Oryctolagus cuniculus: one gene and its partners. The protein of the gene in region 3 purifies or fractionates together with the protein of the main gene of each other region. This does not show direct contact. Links are inferred from orthologs where the notes say so. Each region holds a gene or a part of one and is shown on either strand. Other genes may lie near its edges.

Region 1 (3,611 bases), on a different chromosome or scaffold from region 3:
ACTATGTACACTGATACAAACAATAGTTTCTTGGTTCCCAACAGAGTTAATATCCATGAAAATATAGACTGTGTAAGATACGAGTTGAAGTGTTAATTTGTTTTAATTTTTATGTTTATTTGCTCATTATTTGAAAGGCAGAGAGACAGAGAAAGAAGAGGGATCTTCCATCTCCTAGTTCACTCCCCAAATGCCTGCAGTAGCCAGGGCTGGGCCAGGCCAGAGCCAGGAACACAAAACTTAGTCTGGGTCTCCTACGGGGGTGACAGGGACCCAAGTCTGTCACCCAGGGTACCCCTTAGCAGGAAGCTGGATCCAAAGTGAAGGAGCTGGGGCTCTAACCAGGTGTTCTGATACAGGATACAGGCATCTCAAGTGGCATCTTAACCACTTCACCAAATACCCACTCGAAGTTCAGATTCTCAATTCTGCTTCATATCTGAACATTTACTCAAAACCTGGGAGACAGCCTCAAGCAAGAAACTACTTTGCTTATCCCATAACAGTATGTCACCCCAGGTTAGAATTTGCAGGGGGCAGGCATGCCTTCATTCCATACGCCAGCTCCTGCAGCTTACTGCTAATGCAGACCCTGGGAGGCTGTGGTGCTGGCTCATGTAATTGAGTTCCTGCCATCTGCATGGGAGAACTGGATTGAGTTCCTGGCCGTGGACATCTGGGGAGTAAGCTAGCAGATGGGCGCTGTCTTTCTCTCTTTCTCTGTCTCTGTCTGTCTCTCTCACTCTCTCTTGTTTTCTCTTCTACCCCTCAATGTAAATAAATTTAATTATTTTTCTTTTGTGGGCTTAGCAATGGCAGTTGGAAAGGCAAGAACTTTGGAGTAATACTGGATTTGCATATTTTTTCTGCCCTCAATAATATGTCCTTTGGACAAGTAACTCCTGTGAAGTTGGGAGTAGTAATATCTGCCTTTGTAGGATTACTGTGCAGTTCAGAGCTGAATCTTTATGTGCCCACTAACTAGCAGCTATACTTTAATAGTTCTTTATATCCTGTTTAAGTTCAAATGAAACTATTTCAAAATACATGAAATAATCACAGATAAGTAAATATGAGTTACTAGTTTAGGATAATGCAGGAAGAAGGCAATCATTCATTCCTAATAAAAAAATTGAGTAGCAGTTTAAAGTGTCAGTATTATTATCATCAGAGGCCATGAACTAACAGGAAAAGAGATCTTGGGCACAAGTTGATGCCACACATGTTGTCCCACATCGGCTACATCAGACTCACCCATGTTACATAGTTAGTATCCACAGTCATATGTTAATATGGTTTGATGTTGCCGGCGCCGCGGCTCACTAGGCTAATCCTCCGCCTAGCGGCGCCGGCACACCGGGTTCTAGTCCCGGTCGGGGCGCCGGATTCTGTCCCGGTTGCCCCTCTTCCAGGCCAGCCCTCTGCTGTGGCCAGGGAGTGCAGTGGAGGATGGCCCAAGTGCTTGGGCCCTGCACCCCATGGGAGACCAGGAAAAGCACCTGGCTCCTGGCTCCTGCCATCGGATCAGCGCGGTGCGCCGGCCGCAGCACGCCGGCCGCGGCGGCCATTGGAGGGTGAACCAACGGCAAAGGAAGACCTTTCTCTCTGTCTCTCTCTCTCACTGTCCACTCTGCCTGTCAAAAAAAAAAAAAAAAAAAAATATGGTTTGATGTTTTCACAGCATTCGAGTTAGAGCTTCTCAGAACTTTTTTTCTAATAAATGAGGGACTGGAGTTAAGTGCTTTACTGCATCTGTGTTATTGGAAGATTTTTCATACCCATTTAAAAATGTAAGGAATAGTGGTGCACTTGATGAGGATCAGCACAGGACTTAGTAATAGGAATATTAGACTTAGTATAGTAATAGTAATAATAGGAATATTAGACTTATTTTAGCCACTCTATTAATGAATTATGTACAACTTGCTTGTACATACTATTTCATCAGTTCTGAGACCACCATTTTCACATTTTAATATATCTAAACTTGAGGTGTATATTACATTATAATTGAAGAAAGTGGTTTATCAAGTAAAAATGCCTTTGGTGTCAATGATGTCTTAGATTTTTGACATATAATAATAAGTACTGGCTGGCACCACAGCTCATTAGGCTAATCCTCCGCCTGCGGCACCTGCACCTGGGATTCTAGTCCCAGTTGGGGCGCCGGTTCTGTCCCGGTTGCTCCTCTTCCAGTCCAGCTCTCTGCTGTGGCCCAGGAGGGTATTGGAGGATGGCCCAGGTCCTTGGGAGACCAGGAGGAAGCACCTGCTCCTGGCTTTGGATCGGCACAATGCGCCGGGCCATAGCGGCCACTTGGAGGGTGAACCAATGGAAAAAGGAAGACCTTTCTCTCTGTCTCTCACTGTATAACTCTGCCTGTCAAGAATAATAATAATAATAATAATAAGTACTATGTAATTATCATCTCTGTAAAATGGATTCTAGTTGGGGCCGGCACTGTGGCACAATGGGATAAATCATTGCCTGCACTGCTGGCATCCCATATGGCTCTGGTTTGAGCCCTGGCTGCTCCACTTACCATCCAACTCCCTGCTAATGCTCCTGGGAAATCAGCAGAAGATAGCCCAAGTCTTTGGCCCTCTGTACCCAAGTGGCAGACCAAATAAAGCTCCTGGCTCCTGGTTTCAGCCTGGCCTAGCCCCAGCTGATGCTGCCCTTTGGGGAACCAGTGTATTGAAGATCGATCTCTCTTTCTCTCTCTCTGCAACTCTGCGTTTCAAATAAATAAATAAATCTTTAACCAAAAAAATAGATTTGAGTTGAACAGAAGCAGTAAAAAATCAATGTGAGATTAAAAAACTATCTCCAGCTGAGGAGAAGGAAAGTAGATTCCTGAGAAATTTGTGGCACTGCTCTTTGATTTGTTAGCGTGATTACTTGTAAGATTTTTCATACTAAATTTTCTTTTGATTTCAGAGAATGGTTCTTTCTTTTGTCACATGAAGTGTTGAACCCAATGTATTGCCTGTTTGAATATGCAGGGAAGGATAACTACTGCTTGCAGATAAACCCTGCTTCTTACATCAATCCAGATCACCTGAAATATTTTCGCTTTATTGGGAGGTTTATTGCCATGGTACGTACAGATGGAAAGCTGTGCATTTACTTTGCTAATTCAGCAATACTAAATTTTCTTATATGTGCCATAATAGATAAGGAAATTTTTCTAGTGAAGAATTCATCTAAAATTTTAAAATAAAATGACTATTAAATGTTATCTTACATGGTATTGTATCCTTTTTTCATAGGCTCTATTTCATGGGAAATTCATAGACACAGGCTTCTCTTTACCATTTTATAAACGTATCTTGAACAAACCAGTTGGACTTAAGGATTTAGAATCTGTTGATCCAGAATTTTATAATTCCCTCATCTGGGTTAAGTAAGTTTCTGCTTACATTAATTCTTAAAATATAGTTTATATGCTTTCATTATGTTATTGGTAGCTTATCCAAACTGTAAGCATATATTGGTTTATTGAATTTAAATTATCTGTACATCAAACTGATTATTCAGTATAAGTTTTATAGAAATACACCTAAGATTTTCAGCAGTAATATGTCTTTGGAGAATAATCATACAATTTC
Region 2 (4,283 bases), on a different chromosome or scaffold from region 3:
TTAAAAATAAATGCACATTTTCCAAACTCTTTGAAGAGTCCTCACTGTGCCTCTGGAAGTCTTCCAGGCTAGCAGCTTTTTTAGTTAGGATTAATAAACAGCAAAAAGTTGTAAAGTAACTCACAAACACTGAGGGTCAAGTCTACAAGGATCTTGCTCAAAATGGTCCTATTCCTCCAATCTACCTGGATCCCTCTCAAATTCTGGCTATTCTATTTCCTTTTTCCTTTCCAATCCTATTACCAAAACAGCTTAGAGCCTCCCCACCTACAATTAAGACAATCAGGAAGTGTTCCTACTTCCAGGATCTCTAGTCCTCCACTCATACAAGCTGCTACCAGATTAAGCCTCTTAAAACAATAGTCTAAAATTGTTTCACTCCCAACTTAAAAATTATCTTCGGAGCCCTCAATGCTTAGGAAATTCAAGGTCATTAGCATGGCATTAAAAACAATCCACAACTAGTCCCAAGCCTTTACCAAAGCTTTATCACCCTTTATCCTAGTACAAAAACTCTGTGTTCCATTTAACCATAATTACGTGCCTCTTCCCAGATGTATGAACTTGGTGCCCTCTCAGATTCTTCTCTTTGCTTGGATTATCTTTCCCTGTCTATCCAATGTCAGTCATTCTTCAAAACTAAGATTTAGAAAGCCAGAAGTTCTCCTAACTAACTGCACCTTTCCAGAGGATCGCAACTCTACCACTTCTGAATTTAAATTCTGGTTGGATTTTTGTATCATTATGAAACTTTACTATATATTAAAAGACAAACGGGGCATTTGTGTGTATTATTCGCAGGACTGGGGACAGAAATTGTTAATTATTCTTTGTATTCCCCAAAATACCTCATGCAGTAGATGCTAAATAACTGTGCAAGGAAGGAAAAGAAATGTCAATCGTCCTGGGGTAAACAGCAAAGATTACAATCTCTTTGAAGGCAGAGACCTTATCTATGACATCCTCTATCATGTTAGTCTTCCAAAAAACAAGCATTGTAAGGACTGCTTTTCAAAACGATGGTGTTGTGGGTCTTACAAGCAGTTCTTCACTTTATGGGAAAAACACTTTGAAATGTTTGTAAGCTATGTTCCAAAGAACTATTCCACACATTTCACACTTTTCAGTTCAAGTAGCTCCCAACTCTTGGCCACTAACATCTTCAACTTAAAAATATTAACTATTTATGAAAAATAATAATTTCCAGTAACACAATATACTGCTTTATGGCTAAAAACAAGTCACATAAATAAAAGAATGCCTTTATTTTTTAAAACCTGATTTTTTGCTTGCATAATACACAGACTTGATGAGACAGGTAAAAATGGATTTAAACATAAGCATGAACTCTTGTAGAAACCTGCAGACAGCTATAAACCAGGTGTTTCAGGTAAAAATATTAAAGAGGAGAGGGGGAAGAAAGATAACTTCGGACATTAGCTTTTGCTACTATGACCATTAGCATCTTAAAGCAAAAACTCCAATCTTTATGCATATGAGCCTACACACAAAAAAGATTAAAATCTTTCCAAATAAAAAAAGGAAAACTAAAGCAAGCCCTTACAAAATATTCTGTCTTTAAGGAGTAAAAACATCAAATTTATACATAGATAACTACTGTTTTTTTGGTGTGTGTTTTTTGTTTTTGCTTTTTGGAAACGAAGCTCTCACGTAATTACCGGAGCAAAAGAAAGTCAACTCCACATCCACGGAGTAAAGAAAAGCTCTGCACAGTCCTTGTGCATATGAGGCTGGCAATTTAAATGTTGTAAAAGCAATGGACAAAGTATCAATTTAAATTTACCACCACCACTACCACCCCTCAAAAAAAAAAAAAAAGATTAAAGAAGGGGATTGAAGTCACACGTGAGGCTGGGACTGGCAAAATCTGCAAGGTCACTGAGATCTACCAGGTCACAAAAGGTAGAGGTGGGGGTTGTGTTGGGGGGGGGGGTGGCTGCGGAATCAGTGGAAAAGCCAGATTTAAAAAAAAAAAAAAAAGCACGTCAGAAAGAGACGTTCTGAGACTGGAGTCCTTGGTTTGGGACGGCGGAAGGGGGTGAAAGTCAGGGCACGGGCAGGGAGTCCGTGCTTTGAGGGAGGTGTGAGGCAGAAACGTAGAAGCAGCAGACGAGAAGGCGAAGGGAACGGGGAACTGCGGCTGCAGAGTCACGGAAACACTTCGCCCCGCTCCAGGATCATTCGCCCAGGCCTGTGCCAGGGCCAACTCCGGGCAAGACCCGTGACCCAAGCCCAGAAAACTCCAGGCCCCCCGGGCTGGAGAAGGCAGACACGGCGGCGCGAACTGTCCCCCGACGGCCCCGAGAGAGAGAGAGAGAGAGAGAGAGAGAGAGTCCCGCCCGGGGGCGGTCGGCGCCGGACTCCCCACACCGCGGCCGAGGCTCCGGGCCCGCGCCCCGCGCCCCCCGCCCCGGCGTCCTTACCCTGCGCGAAGCTGCCGGCGCCCGGCAGCGGACGGCCACAGCTGCGGCGCCTCCTCCCGCGGCGGGCGCCCTCAACCTTCCGCGCCTAAGATCGCCATCTCGCAGCAGGCGCGGCGGCGGCGGCGGCAGCGGCAGCGGCAGCCACCCAGGCGTCGGCCCCGGCAGCCCAGGCCGCCTGCAGCCACTCGAAACCCGCACGCCGCGTTTGCCGACACCCGACCCTCCCCCCACCCCCACCCCGGCCACGCGCCACCCCCGAGTCGACCCCACACCTCCCTTCCTCGGGAGCACGCCGCGTGCCCGCGTCACCGGCGCCGCGCCCAGAGCGCGCGCCCCCTCCACCCGCCCGGGCACCGCGCTACGCAGCGGCCACCTAAAGACTCCAACTCCGGAGCCGGAATCCGGCGGATTTGCGAGCATGCGCAGCAAGGGCACCCCCGCCGCCTTTAGAAGGGCCACTCCTCCGGGTCTTCTGAGCGATCGACTCGTGTGGGGGGGCGGGGGCGGGCCAGCCAATAGGGGAAGGGGGCGTGGCCTGGACCTGTGAAAGGGGTGGGGCTTCCGCAGAGGTTTGGGAAGAGGCTTTAAGCCAGTGCTAGGTACTGCTGACTTGACTTTCCGGTACTCGGCCCAACCTGCGCGTGACCTCAAGCAGGCTCCTTAGGGCACTGGCGTCCTTTTTTACGAACGCCTTACAGCGAAAGCAGGCTGTTAATAAAGTCTGCTTGACCTAGCTGAGTGCTTGACTTAGAGCCCGTTGCCAAAGTACATGCATTTAGAAGATAGACATACCAGAAGACTTGCAATTTCTGTATATTGGTAATCAAAACGTTCACAACCCACCCCTGCCCACGTCAGCCCAGTGATAAAGCTAATACATGTTGAACAAGAGTATGTGTCAGCGCAATTAGTCCCCATAACAGTCTCATCAGGTAGCGTCTATTATTTCCATCATTCACGCCGAGTCAGCCTGTTTAGGGAAGTGCCCGTGTATTGCTTTTAGAAGGCCGAGCAAATACAAGTGAGTAAGGGCCACATTACTCATGCATGAATTTCTCGAGTGTTTGCCCAAACACCTCACCTACCCCAACAAATTACCTACGTCCACACTCTCAGAGGCTTGGTGTCCCTGCTACTCTCCCAAGCGAACCTGCGCTCTGCTCCCTCTCGGGACCCTTCCTGGCACTTCTCTAACCTCACCTGTTAGCATAACCATGTTTTAAGACTTTTCTCACCTAAACTTTCCATTGACTTTAAAACTCCCTTCCTGCTCTCTCTTCTTTTGTCACAACAGAGCTTTTCGTAGAGTGGCAGTGTCATTGTTGATGCCACTCCACGAATATTTGTGGGATCCAATAAATACCTCCTGGTGGGACACATGCACATTTCCTTCCACTCCGGGGCAGGAGTGCTGACCTCTGCCTTCACACCTGAATTTGGTCCCCATTGAATCCCCGAAGATCATTCTGAATGCCCGTCTGAGCTCGTCGCTCACCCCGCTGCTTCATTCTTTGGCTCTTCCTAGCTTTCCTGAGGAAGGTTACCGCGATAGTCAAGCCCCTTTTCATGCTCATATACTCTGTTCCTCCTCTTAGGAAAAACTCCTTCCGCTTCCCTGAATGTACTCACTCATCTCTGTGCTTTAACCACGATGTCCTCTGATTTGCCCTCTTCGTTTTGCGTAACAGTCCCTTTAAATAGATGTCACCACGAATTTGCAACTCACCGCCCCCCCCCCCACCCGCCAACCCACCCAGCAATTCCCTAAGAATTCCCAGCAAGATCTGCCCTCCTCCAGAGTGCATGCTGGCTTCCTTCTGCTTCCTGCTCTTCTCTGTC
Region 3 (4,116 bases):
TTTCACTTCCTCCAAAACAGCAAGGCCGAGTATCATTTATTGTGACTCCCGGGCTCCATCTACCCAAACATACTACGCAGAAGAATCTAAAACGTATGGACACAGCCGTAGCCAAAAACCTTCCCAAGAATTCCTGGTTACGTATATGTGGCTTCAGATTCCCATCTTTTTCTGTCTTTCTATAGCTCTCCTGACAGCAGCTCTGCGGAGGCCAGTAATCTACACGAGTTTGTGCTGTTACACTCTGCATCCCAGTGGGGCGTGACGCAGGCTCTGCTATTTCTTACCGAAACACTCACAATCAAAAAAGACAAATGTACCTATTAGGATGCACGGGAATGACTAGGCTGAACAGTCCAGCGGACAACCGCGGCTCCGCAGAATCCGCATCCTCACTGATGCTAAGAATTATGCTTTCCACACGCTGCATCTCGCTCCTTCAAACCATCGCTCGCGCTCCAGCAACTCCCCACCAAGGCTGTGCGCCGAGCCGCCACCGTGCCACCTGCCTTCTGCAAGGTGGCACTGTGGACGCGAGGGCTGCAGCCGCGCACCCTGCACCCTGACTCCGGCCACGGCTGGCGTCCCTAACAAGGACCTCGGCTTCCTCGGGGGAAGCGGGCCGCCTGCCCCCAACGTCGCCAGCGACTCGCTCGGGGTAGCCGGAGCCGGCACAGCCCCCCGAGGGGACGGGACCTACGCCTCTTCCTCGCTGCCTTAGGGCGTCCGCTCCGCAGGCCCCCTTTTGGCCTCCAGGGAGCTCACTTCCACCCCGTCTACAGCCATCTACGGACGCGCATAAAATCCACGCCGAGACTGCTCTCGTCTGTGACCACGATTCCTGGCCCGGTTTTCAGGACTTTTTTTTTTTTTCCTCCCGAAAGTCGTTAGCTCAGGCTCAGCCACCCAGCCGCTGGCCCGACCGGTTTCTCCCCCTTCCTCCTCCTCCCAGGCAGGCGGCGGGCGAATCCGCGCAGCGCCGCTAACGCGTGCGCCGGCCCGGCCGCCCCTCCACGCGGCCCGCGGTCCCTCAGCGCCCCGCCGGCGGTCGCTCTGTCAGAGGCCGCCCGGCCAGCGGCTCCGGGGAGCACGCCGGGGCTTTCCGGCAGCCCGCCCGCCAATGGGAGCCCACAATGCAGCGAAGTCCGGCCGGGCCTCCCGGCAGCGCCCGTGCCGGCTTCCCCGGCTCCACGCCTACTGTACCCGCGCGCGTGCCCGGCGAGGGCGCGAGCGCGGCGCGGCGCGGCGCGGCGGGGGCGCGCGCCCGGGGGGCCGGCGGCCGCGGCGGCGTGCGCGTGCGCACTGGGGTTGTTTTTCACAAAGCTGCTCTTAAAGTGAGCTGGCAGGCTCCGGCCGCCCGTCTTTGTAAGGAGACCACTGAGACGGGCGGGCGCGCGGAGCCGCCGCCGCAGCCTCTCTGCTGCCCTGACTTTTAAGAGCTCTCAATGAACTGTCTGTAAGGAGCTACTGATCCTGCCTGCAAGGGTTTGCATTTTTGCACGGCAGAAGCATCGATCAGTGTTGAGTGAAGATCCCATTTTATATGCGATCTTGACTTTTTTGGGGGTCTTACATTATATTTTTTATAGATTTTTGTTATCAACATGGTGCTGGGGAAGGTGAAGAATTTGACAATAAGCTTCGACTGTCTGAATGACAGCAATGTCCCCGTGTATTCCAGCGGGGATACTGTCTCAGGAAGGGTGAATTTAGAAGTTACTGGGGAAATCAGAGTAAAATCGCTTAAAATTCATGCAAGAGGACATGCGAAAGTACGCTGGACGGAGTCTAGAAACGCCGGCTCCAATACTGCCTACACGCAGAACTACACCGAAGAAGTAGAATACTTCAACCATAAAGACATCTTAATTGGGCACGAAAGAGGTAAGTTTTCCTACCATTCGGCAGTCTGCAGGCTGGCTTTCTCGGGTGGACGTGGTTCTCGCAGCGTAGCTCGGCCGTTTGCTGGAGGCTAGCAAAGTTGCGAGGTTTGGGTTCTCCTTGACGGGAGGCTGTAATGCGTGCCGGCATCTGCAAAGCGACTGCAAACTGCACCTCGTCTCCACCACCCCTGGACCCGGCTCGGGCTGTGCCATACGCACTTGCGGTCCATTTGCACCTCACTCGGAAATTCTGCTTGCCTCCGAGTCCATGATTTTACTGCTACGTTTTCAAATGAATTGATGAAAGCTGCGGTCCGGCATCAGATTTTTAAAATTTTTTCCTTTTTCTTTGCAACCTTAGCTCAAAACCTGAGCTTGAAGGAAGGAATGAAATAACATTTTAGGAGGGTTAGTAGATGTGTTTCCTTTTAATATTAACGTGCAAAGGACTTTATAAGGAATTGATCATTGTTCTTTGAGAGAGGGTTTCCCTGGCTTATTTTGACATATGGTATTACCAACACCCCACGTGTTTTTTTTTTTTTTTAACCTCTTCTTTCCAATGCTTTGGGAATTTTGCATCAAGCATTCCTTATTTTAAAAGACAGTATCTATCACCGTGGCCGGTGTTCAGTCAGGTTCAGAAGCCATTCAGGGCCAGCAGTTTCTTCTCCAAGCATCATGTCTAACTTTGGAACGTGCATTCAATGAAACCCTGCCAGTCCAATGGAATTGAAAAGTAGACCGCACACTGGACTTGATTTTTGGTTAGAAGGGGGAGATGGAGGGTTGTCAAAGGGAGAGGGGGTCCTGAGATTTCCCCTCTATTGTTTAGATGGCTACATTGTGGAAATATAGGAGACTCTAAGCTTGTTTTTCTAAGTTTCCACCCTTTGTTAGAAGCGGTTCAATCCTGTTTCGGACCAGTTCTGGGGGGTGGTGAGGAGGGGCGCTTGTGCAGCTCTCAGCAGATTGGTTACACGCGTCAGGTGGTGGCGATGACTTAATTCTAGCCCAAGAAGAATATAATGTTAAAACTGGTTATGTAATTTTGTGCTTCTCCTTTTTAATGCAGTATTTAGTGCAAATGCTGACTTTTTCAGAAAGAGGCTCGCTTTTATCTGCGTTTTTATATTCAAGATATACATCCCAGGGAAATGCTAATTGAATTAAGGGAAGGGAGAAATAAAGGAAGCGTTGAGTTACAGCATTATTGCATTTTTTTTTTAAATGCTCAGGTGAAATCAGTTCTTCGGCAGGGTTTCCACAGTTCACCTAGGTGGTTTTGCATCTTGAAGTAATTTCTAGTTCATCTTCCCAAGCGTTAACTCTGATAGGAAATGCAAAGCGCCTGATGACAGTTCTGCTGTGTGCTGCAAAGCGCACACGCGAGTTTGATTTCGAGCCTTTTATAAAATGAGAAGAAACAAAAGGTTTTTCTCTCAAGAGTTGAGCCTTGCAGTGAAGGGAAAGTAGAACAATGCGTTGGGGCGGAAAGCAAGGTCGTTAGCTGCACCTCGACTTCGTGGTGAGGAAAACCGAACGCCCCGCACCCAGCCGGGCGCCCCCCGAAGCCGGCCACGCGTGGACGAGCTTCTGCCTGGAGTAGTTTCAATGACTTTAGCTGAGAGCTCTCACACGAGCCTGGCAGCGGAGGCCCCGCCCCGGGCGGCCGGCGAGGGGCGGGGCCAGGTTTGTTAGCCTGTTGCTAAGGCGATGCCGGGCGCTGATTGGATTGGGCCGGCGCGGGTGGGGAGAGTGGGCTCCGGCCGGCTGGGGCGCGGCTTGGAACCGGCGTGCGCCGGTAAAGGTCCCTCCCGAGCGGCCGCCCCCGCCCGCGCTCGCGCGAGTGCGTTCCCGGGCTTCCGTGGGCTCCCGGGGCCCGCGTCGCGGCATGCCCTGCTGCTGTCCCTCTCTCCGGCCTGTTGGGGCCACGAGGGGGACGCCTCGTACGGGGCGCCAGCCGCTGCCGGCTTTCACAGGTGCAGAGTCGCCCTGGGCGCAACTTTTGGCCAGAGACCCTCGTAGAGGGGGCTGGCGTGAGGAGAGCGAGCGGGACCCCCGAGGTCGCGGGCGACGTGTCGGAGTGGCTCCCTTTCCTCTCGGCTGCCACAGACATGTGCCGACTGTCCAGTCAGCAGTCTGGCTACCTTGACGTGACCTGAGGGGGAGTCTGGCACTGGCTGGCCAGGGCAAAGAAAAGTGGTTTCAAATCCGGGAATCTGGGCGGGAG

What was found.
Region 1: the proteins of ARRDC3 (region 3) and ITCH purify together in Homo sapiens (co-immunoprecipitation; 5 studies listed by BioGRID and IntAct, counting the BioPlex papers as one, with this or other methods). This does not show direct contact. The link is inferred for Oryctolagus cuniculus from reciprocal best matches to the Homo sapiens genes ARRDC3 and ITCH.
Region 2: the proteins of ARRDC3 (region 3) and WWP1 purify together in Homo sapiens (affinity purification with mass spectrometry; 4 studies listed by BioGRID and IntAct, counting the BioPlex papers as one, with this or other methods). This does not show direct contact. The link is inferred for Oryctolagus cuniculus from reciprocal best matches to the Homo sapiens genes ARRDC3 and WWP1.

Annotation. Positions count from the first base shown.
Region 1 is NC_091442.1:23,618,015-23,621,625, reverse strand, and holds part of ITCH (E3 ubiquitin-protein ligase Itchy homolog), read left to right. Parts: intron 1-2,940; coding exon 2,941-3,100; intron 3,101-3,272; coding exon 3,273-3,406; intron 3,407-3,611. UniProt on the Homo sapiens protein: Acts as an Acts as an E3 ubiquitin-protein ligase which accepts ubiquitin from an E2 ubiquitin-conjugating enzyme in the form of a thioester and then directly transfers the ubiquitin to targeted substrates.
Region 2 is NC_091437.1:111,622,091-111,626,373, reverse strand, and holds the start of WWP1 (NEDD4-like E3 ubiquitin-protein ligase WWP1), read right to left. Parts: upstream 2,822-4,283; 5' UTR 2,445-2,821; intron 1-2,444. UniProt on the Homo sapiens protein: E3 ubiquitin-protein ligase which accepts ubiquitin from an E2 ubiquitin-conjugating enzyme in the form of a thioester and then directly transfers the ubiquitin to targeted substrates.
Region 3 is NC_091445.1:14,128,048-14,132,163, reverse strand, and holds the start of ARRDC3 (arrestin domain-containing protein 3), read left to right. Parts: upstream 1-1,277; 5' UTR 1,278-1,604; coding exon 1,605-1,884; intron 1,885-3,696; exon of another isoform or gene 3,697-3,777; coding exon of another isoform or gene 3,778-3,865; intron 3,866-4,116. UniProt on the Homo sapiens protein: Adapter protein that plays a role in regulating cell-surface expression of adrenergic receptors and probably also other G protein-coupled receptors.